2 linked regions of the Oryzias latipes genome follow. The protein of the gene in region 2 purifies or fractionates together with the protein of the main gene of each other region. This does not show direct contact. Links are inferred from orthologs where the notes say so. Each region holds a gene or a part of one and is shown on either strand. Other genes may lie near its edges.

The links. Proteins that work in one complex are often made in the same cells at the same time.
Region 1: the proteins of mkln1 (region 2) and zmynd19 purify together in Homo sapiens (affinity purification with mass spectrometry; 3 studies listed by BioGRID and IntAct, with this or other methods). This does not show direct contact. The link is inferred for Oryzias latipes from reciprocal best matches to the Homo sapiens genes MKLN1 and ZMYND19.

Annotation. Positions count from the first base shown.
Region 1 is NC_019870.2:12,308,993-12,313,908, reverse strand, and holds the start of zmynd19 (zinc finger MYND domain-containing protein 19), read right to left. Parts: upstream 3,424-4,916; 5' UTR 3,194-3,423; coding exon 3,143-3,193; intron 1-3,142. UniProt on the Homo sapiens protein: May be involved as a regulatory molecule in GPR24/MCH-R1 signaling.
Region 2 is NC_019881.2:8,970,571-8,974,992, forward strand, and holds part of mkln1 (muskelin), read right to left. Parts: intron 1,631-4,422; coding exon 1,409-1,630; intron 1,334-1,408; coding exon 1,204-1,333; intron 1-1,203. UniProt on the Homo sapiens protein: Component of the CTLH E3 ubiquitin-protein ligase complex that selectively accepts ubiquitin from UBE2H and mediates ubiquitination and subsequent proteasomal degradation of the transcription factor HBP1.

The DNA.
Region 1 (4,916 bases), on a different chromosome or scaffold from region 2:
TAGCACTTATTTATACACTTTTCAATGACTAAAAATAGAGCATATCAAACTTAAATCTGCTCTAGTCTGTTTCAGATGTTTTGAAGGGAGCCCTGCAGTGTAGTAGTTAACACTAGTTAAAAAGTTTTCATGCTGCTTCTAATCACTGCTATTTCACATTTGTTCCTAATCAATAGTTAAGAAGTTTTATTGACTCTTTTGCCCTGACTGCCTTAAGGTTCTGCTTTTTGTTACTGTTGCAAAGTTACATTTACTTTTTAGTTACTTTAGTTACCTAATTAAATTAAATAATTGAAAAATTAAATACAATTAAATTACTGAGATCATTCAGCTAACTAGAAATACTTACTGCTTACAGTGTTGTAAAGAAAAACAAAATTAAGTAGTTTGACCTTATACTCCATTTGAGTCTGAGATTCAGGTATTTGGAGTTGCCTTTGATTCTTTGACATTCAGCTTAAAGCTTAGTGCATACAGTTTCATCTTCAATGCATTCATTAAATATCTTGCTGTCCATAGTACTAATTCCACCCGTCACTCCATCTAACATATTCCTATCTATTCCTGCCATGTCTTCCACATCTCTGACATGCTTCAGTCTCTCTTCAGTGACGGTGTTGGATTTATGATCATCGCGGTGAAAAACCACCAGGGGGCGCGCTGATATGTGTGTCAGTTTAAATATATCTGCCTAAAATGTAATAATAACCCACTGGCTTGTTCCTTCGTTGTTGCTGTTTAACATTGTTTAGTATTGAATTGTTACATTCAATAAAGTTTGAAAAAAAAATTGAGTGAGCGCGTGCCGCATGGTGCTCGGTAGTGACAGCCGCGCGCAGGCGGGAGAGGAGGAGAAGATAAAAGGTTTCCCATAGAAATCCTTGAAGTCTGAACACAGGACTAGCAGAAAAAGTAAATTATGAAGACGAGGTAAATCTACACGTTTTCGCAAAATATACTTTATTGAAAAAGGTGAAAAATGTATTAATTGTTAGATATTTTAGTGGCCCGAGCGGACAAGTAAAAAATAAAGTCTTGTGGTCCGTACTGCTCGAAAAACAGGACCGGGCCAGCGGACAAATGGCTATGTCGAGCCCTGATTTGAGGTAACCATTTATTGCGATTTTCGCCGTCTTTTGCGGTATGCATATTGCACACCTTGATTTCGCGATAACGATAAATTTGCGGTATATTGTGCAGGCCTAGTGACTGTCACTGTGGATTTAGTTTCAGAGATCACTCTGTGGGTCATATAGTTAATATGAACTACTATACATAGGCCAGATGCAGATGCTTCCATTTCTTTGCAATTATCAGCAAATATCAAGTAACTAGACCAGGGGACAGCAACCTTTAAAAGAGCTAATCACGTTGATTTCTCACCGACCACAACTCAGAAGGAGCTGTAGTCTTATTACGACAGTGGTTTGTGTTTATTATAGTATTGTCACTGTTATAAGAAATATAAATTATGGTTTATTCATTCCTAAAAACAAAATGAAATTAGATTTTTTTCCCAAATACGAATGAGTTTCTAACTTTTGACAGAGCTTCCTCTGACTTCCTTTCAAAATAAAAGACACACTGTGCCACATGGGATCATCCCACTGCAGAATATTTTGTACACGTTGTGTAATGTCAGTAGTGATTTAAAACACAACACAACATTGTTTTGTTGGTGCACCACAGCCACCGATTTGTAAACCTAACAAACTAAAATTAAACCAGAGCTAACTAAGTTACTTTACTCATAAGGTAAACTTAAAATCCTTAATTTTCTTCAAATCGACAGTGCTTCTTAGAACTGATTATCTCTGGCACATGGTGCTTAAAAGGCGACTTTGATAAACTACAAAACTGCATTGCTTTATGGCTTGCATTATGGGTATTGTAGTCAAAAACCTTGCAAAGTGATGTGTACTGTGCTTTAACTGCTCGTAAATGACTTTAATAAGATTTGACTTGTCTGACTGTTGTCATTCGTTCAATGTGGCTTTTAGTCCAAATAATAGATTACATTGTACATTTTAAAAACATTTTAAGTTTTCTTCAGAGCCACAATGGAAAGAAGCCTCCTGTTGCAGACCACTGAACTAGACAAATAAGTAGCACAGTTCAAAAACTAAGAGATTTTTCTAATACTGTTGTCTAAAAGTAAGCTAAGCAAGTTAGAAAAAAATGCATTTTAACAATAAAATAGTTATATAACCTGCTAATACACACCTCTGCATGTAATAGACACAATACTGCAGCCCTTAATAATTGCTAAATGAAATATTCAAATACGTAAGTCTCAGGCTGCAGTGAGCACAAGTCAAATGTGACAGATGAGTTATGGACCTTGAAGAGCTTCTTCTGTGTGTGTGTGTGCGCGCGCGCGCCCGCGTAAGGTGTCTCGCGCTGCTGGATGTCGTCATTCAGCAGGTGGGCAGCTAGATCCATCACAGCTCACACAAGTTCATCCACCTGTCCAGTTCATCCCGGGTGTCCTGTGACACCAGCAGCGTTTCCAGCCCTTCCTTCACGTCACATCCTCATGGAACAAATACTTGGGGTTGACATCATCCTTTTCTTTAAATAAATGACAAATCTCCGCCTCGCATTCATGCTGCACACCACAGTTCAGGCCGGCAAAAGTCAGTTGATAAGCGTGGCAACACTTCCTTCATTAGCCAACAGTTGAGTGTAATCCAGATCCAGCCGTTAGCGTGCTGCTAACCATCAGCGACTGATAATTTTGCGGCACTTCACCTTACAATTTGCACATTTTCAACACTACTGATAACAGCACCGATAGTACAAATTAAAAACACGAATCAATGTTTCAATATGCGTCACAACTGTTTTGAAATTAGAAACCGCTAATGTACCCTGCTACATGTAAGCTAGCGCTAGCTCTAATCGAGACTGATAGCGGCGGCATTCAGGAGCAGTCTGGCTCGACACGGCCGGCTTCTCTGCTCAAACGCGGCTAAAAAGATTAAGCTAAACGACGCCAGAGTCCACAATGGCCACATTGTTATTACAGCTGCAAACTAGGATCCACTAATGTCTGTAACGGTTTCTTCAGTCGTGTTTTTGTATTCCCCGAGGGCCCTCCCACGGCCGCACATGGCAGCCCTAGATCATAGATCCAACTCACCTTCCCGGCCACACGGCCGAGCCGTACGATCCCGAGCTTGAAATCCGACATGGGGAGAACGGTCTTGCAGTGACACCGGGAGGAAGTAGATCCAACTTAATCGGAACCGAGATGGACAGCTCGCCGAGGTAGCTCCCCAGCGATGCCACTTTGGGACTGAGCGAGTGGTAATTGACCTGTGTCCGGGTCTATCCGGCCGCAGCCCTGCCTCGGTGACACACCACCACCGCTGGCGCAGGAGAGCCGAGCGAGCTGCTGCGAGGGGGGCGGGACCGGGGAGAGGAACTAGTCAGGGGTGAATCAACCAATGAGATGCGAGTTTGGTGCCAGCAGCGAGTTCATTCAGACCAATAGAAAACGAGAACGTTCAAAGGCCGCCCATTTCAGATATGACGCCATTGAACTCTCGTGACCATGCACAGACATTTGCGCGCGAAATAAAGTGATAAGTAAGCAAATGGCATTGAAACTACTAGTGACCTGATAATCCTATTCTAATTGTACAAAACTAAGTCAGATAGTTTAAAGATGTCGGTTTGCCCTCAACTCAGCACATAGGTTTGCTTTTAGAAATTACAGGTTATTTTTGAGAGCCTTCAGAGATTAGATGACCCAATCTAATGAAAATGTTTTTTTGGTGTTTTTAACATGATGATGATGATGGTAAAATTGCCTTTTTAAGTATTTCTTCATTGTGGTGAAACAAGAGAGATCAAAAAACTAAGTTGTTTGTAAAAGCTTGTAGTTGTGATGTATCATCACATCTATAATCTACATTACAGGCAATAAGCTCCCTCCACTTCATTCCAATGCTGCAGACATAATCTTTGTACGTCTCGTCTGAGCTGGCATGTGGTTTAGAACTGTACGGTGGTTAGCTCCAACATAGCTCACCATCTTTGTCCCACCGCTAAAGTATGGTTGTAAGGGGCTGTAATGGGCTTGTGAGTGAGAATGTACACAGATGGATGATGGGAAATAAGCCAACGGTCCCGCCCACAACTCAGGCAAATTTCTCATGACCCTAAAACGCTACAAGTTTTTTCCATTTTGGCAAAGTGCTGGCAGTTTTGTCTGAAATTTGGATTAGATTAATGACTGAAGTCTATTCTATAAAAGTTTTATTAGTGAGAATGTCACAACACTAAGCACATTTAACATACCTGTACTATGGGTCTTGGACCAAAAGCTTTTTCTTTTATGCTACATATCTGAAAAGGAGCAGTGCCTTTTTCCTAATTCTGCACCAGAGAAAGAAAGAAAAAGAGTCTAATTAAGACAACATAGTATTTATACAAAAGCACAATTGCTTGAACTCTTCCAGTTTTAGAAAGGATAGGATTGTTATATTTGTGATGTAACAGTCATTAAAGTCAAACAAATTCCATCATGATTAACAAACATAATTCATGTGTTTTGTGGATGGGCATTGCAACATAATGCCACCATGTCCACACAAACCCGGCGTGGTGTGCATAGGCGGAGCAGTGGATGTGTGGCCTATTAACAAAACCTACTCTGCTGAGGACATGGATACTCTAGTGAGTGTAAGTAAACTAGCATCTTCAAAACACCTGTTTTTGCTCTATTATTTATTTAGCATTTTACACAAAAACTCAGTTTCATTTTCATTATTATAAAGTTTCTTTATGTTACTGTATTTGTCTAGCCTTGTTTGAATGTCTTCAATTGGGTTTAAACCAACTTATGATTCATCTGGAAATGTTTCTTCAATGTGAACCAGGCTTCCCCAATAACATTTAATCTATTGTAT
Region 2 (4,422 bases):
CCCCTTCCAGGAAGAGTCTGCGCTGCCAGTCCCGCCCCCAAGCTAACACACACAAACACACTTTCTCAGTGGAGCTAGCGGTGATCAGCTTAACGATTTCCTTTTATATTCACAATGTGCACATCCATCTTTGCAAAAGTTTGGATGTTGTTTGTTTTGGTGGGCGAAACGCAGACACACTGCCGAGGCAGACTGGGATATAGTATACTATAAAAGATTTACTGTAAGTCTTCTCAAATAGTGGGGCGCGCCCCCGGATGCGATGCCAGGGGGGGCGTGCAGTAGTAGCGGTTAACGGCTTATCCGTTATATCACAGAGTTTGTAACAGCCTGAAACTGTGAACTGCCGTCCCTGCAGCTGCCCCTTTCTCTGCATCAAAGGGGGGGGGGGGGGTAGTGGGCCCAGGCTGCGAGGTGGGACGTGCACGCGAGCAGCCTCTTTTGCGCGACACCTGGATCATCAATTATTGTAGACATTTCGATGATGTGTCTTTATTTTCCATCAATGTATTCTTTGTCTGCCTGTTGTTTAGTTGGTGTCACTATTTGACATAAAGACAGCAGGTTATGCAGGAAAACAGCTGCACTTTTGAGATCATAAATAAACTATCCATCATTTAGAAATAAATTCAGCGCAATGTTTTTACCTATTTCTTCAGACTAAAACCTTTAAATATATTGGTGCTGCTGTGTTAATGTTTCAGATCAAGTTACATTGAATATTATCTATTGATTGAATTATTTTTCGGTAGTAACCTCCAACAATGTTTTTCCATATCTCTTCGCTTTGAGGGCTAAATGTAGGGGTAGGTAGAAGCTGCAGGGAGGTAATTTAAATTTGCCCTTGTTCTCATCCTTTTATAAAACCTACAGACAGTTTTAAAATGCGCTAATTTCAACATAAATGACGCAAAGCTTTAAAAAATTCCAACTGTTTGCTGAATTTAATAAGGCTGTGTTGCTGTCAAAATAGTTCATCTATCTGATTTCAAATCACTTTCTTGAGATTTTCCTTGAAATATTTGTCTATTTGTCAAATTCCGACCTAGCTAAACCTATACTATAAATACCAATAAATTACAATGAAAACTAACATAAAGTAGTTTTTTTGCCAACTAGAAGAATAAAATAATGATTGATCATTTTCAGTTTTCTAAGTCATTATTTCTTAAGGCAGTGTTAGTAATAGGAGCTAGTTCTTACCCATGCCAGAGTCCTTCTTGGTGCCATCAGAAATGATCTCGACGTGGTCTCCGTCCACATCATAACTGAAGAAATCATTGAGGTAAGTCTTAGACCTCTGACCTCCAAAGACATAGAGGCAGCGGTTTCTCTGCAGTAAAAGATGATCCTAAATGAGTCTTTTGTGAAAATGTTCTGATACAAGGTCGATTCTGTGCAGACTTACAGTGTGGAAGAGCATGCAGTGTCCAATGCGAGACTGAATATCCTCTGGGCCAGCGTTGCAGGAGTCTTCCCTCAGCAGGCTCCACGACCCCACCTGGCACTGGAAGGCGTACAGGCCACTGAACTGTGGCTCTGACGTGCGGCTGTCCTCCACGCTGCCGTTACACGTGAGGATACGACCACCAAACGTATAGATCATGTGCTTCTCTGAGTCCATGCACATCTGCAGCAAGAGTAAACAAACTGTCAACAACTGTAGCAACAACATCCCAAATTGAAAGCTTTATAAACAGTTTTCCTTTGCCTGTTCTGGAAACTTCAGCAGAAGAAAAAAAACTCTGGAACTCAACACAGTAAGATGAAATTACACCTCAAAGCGAAGAGAAAATGCTGAGAAAATAACACTCCTGTCATAAAGTACTTCAGAATACTGTAGGAGTGTCTTCTGCTTTTTTCTGGCTGCCTAATCCGACCTTAATACTCTGGAGACACTAAAACTAGTGAATATGATAACAACGATTCTATTCTTATCATATTCTGCAATTGATGACACGATTCATAGTCGATTTAGTAGTCATAGTCGTTCTGAACAATGAACAATTGACTGACCTAAAATGGAAATAGGACATCTTTAGCCAAACGTCAACCAATGTGACTCAAAGAGAAATACCTGGGTACTAACAGTGCAGGGGAAATTTCCAGATTTCATGTATTTCTTATAAGATAATGAAGTGTAAACAAACAAACAAATAAACAAGAATGGATGTCAAATCCATCCACATTTTAGTTTCCTAAAGTTCAGCCCACTGTTGTTTTCCACATCCAAAGAGTGCAAAGGGAACATTATTAGAACATTCTAGCACACAGTCTGGTCACATGTTTTTGCTATATTCAAAGTGTTTCCACACATTGGACTGGATTGATGGACTGATCAGTTTTTGCTGCATGACGTGTGTGTTGTCCGCTGTGATGCAACGGTTGTATTTACCTTATATTCAAATAAACCTACTGTACCTCAATCCAAATGGTATTTTCCAATATCCATTTTTGATTCATCTAATTTCAAAGTCATTTTTTAATGGTTTAAGTCAATACCATTAACAACTTGCCTCAGACAGATCAGATCGACCTGGTTGGATCAGAGGAATTGAAATCAATTCCTCGATTAATTGGTTAGTTGTTGCACCTCTACTAAACAGTAATGCTCTTTTATTTTTTACAAACTATTTAGCATACAGATCCTATTCAACATAATGATGTAACAGCAACAGTAATATTGTCAATTGATGAGTAGGGCTGAGTATCACCAATAATTCCCAGAATCGATTTGATTCGCCAGAACCCGGATCGATTCATTTTTGATTGTTTCGATCCACAATTTGATTCAATTTTGAATTTAAATGGTTTACACATTTAGACATATTTTTATAGAAATACAATATTAATCTATATATGTTTTGAAGATATTCATATTAATCGAGGGGGACCTGGTCTCAAGTCCAAGATGGCAGCAGGTCCAGAATGGCGGCAAAACATCATTTGCTGGAATCTGAAATGCTACAAGTTTTCAAAATTGTAGCCCCGTTTATTAAAAACTATCATGTGACTTTATGGTTCAGAGTGCAACGTGAGATTAAAACAGGGCAAAAACGGTATTTGTTTTATTCCTTTCAAAAAGTGTATAAGTAAATGTGTTTAGATTTGTAAACCCACCGGAGCTTTAGCACCAGTGTTTACATTCCTTCACCGTAACTTTTTAACTTATCAACATTAAACAGTGTAACTGCGGAGGAAAGCGGCTTTGCGCCGGTATGTAACACTTTATAAGCAATTTGCAAAAATTCGCTTTGAATTGTTGCTTACAGATGCAAAGCTGATCAGCTGATTCACGTACGGAGTTACGTTCAGAGCAAAGCGGGCTTTGACAGAGACATCTACAGTGCTAAAGTTTTAACGCTTAAAGCTGGAAAAACAACAGTAAATCTTGGGGTCGCCAGTTAAATTATTATTATGATTTGGAACAAAAAAAGTAACAAAATAAAAGTATATTCCCACAGAAATTTGGGTTGGGGTGAACGTAGACCCCGGTTCCGGCTAATGATGTCTTCCCGCCATGTTGTCTGTAACCAGGTCGTCTTGTATTGATCTGATACAGTACATATACAGTAAATGTATTCGTGAAATAATAAACCAATTGATTGTTAACAACATGCAGCATTACATGGTTTCTCAAACGGAGAAGCTCCAACAAAAATGTGCAGATTGTAAAGAAACCTACGTTTTAGTATGGCCACTAGGTGGAGCTCTCGCTATAGCTTAATTCCAAAAGATTTGAGTAAAAAACGGTGCTCTACCCACAAATGGTTACGGTACTTTAAAAAAATGTTTCCTAAAAAAAAAAAGAGTTTGGAAAATTCATGCCTGTGATTATATAAAGCAGTTCATTTAGGTCAAAGGAGTGTTAGCATTAGCCGTCCTATGGGAAATTCCATTATACGTTAGCATCAAGCTAATAGATTTTGGCTTTACTGCGGTTATGCATTAGGTCACGGTAAAAGGAAACGCATAAAAGATCAATCTTTACGTTTATGGATTGATTATTAATTTATTAAGCTTGGATTGAATCCGATTGATTAATTGATTTCATCAACCCATGAGAAGCTTCCTGCCAACAGTCTTCTCAGCCACAGAAAAAAGCACAGATAAAGTGACTGGATTATTTTGGATGTTTTTCTAGTTTATAAGTGGATCCATGAAGCCACCTTTTCACACTCAGACTGTTAGGGGGACTAAAAAAAACGGTTTTGTCAGGAAATAAGAACATTTTCATGGCCAAGTCTTTTCTGATCTGGAATAAGATGTGAGTAACCACTGAGTAAAAGACGACTGATGTCATGATCAACTTTTTTTTACCTAAGCCAAAGCTCTAAATAAATTGTTGAAATTATACACAAGGGAATTAAAATGTAACTTTATTAACAACAGCACGGTCTGAAGCACTGGGTGAAGGAAAAA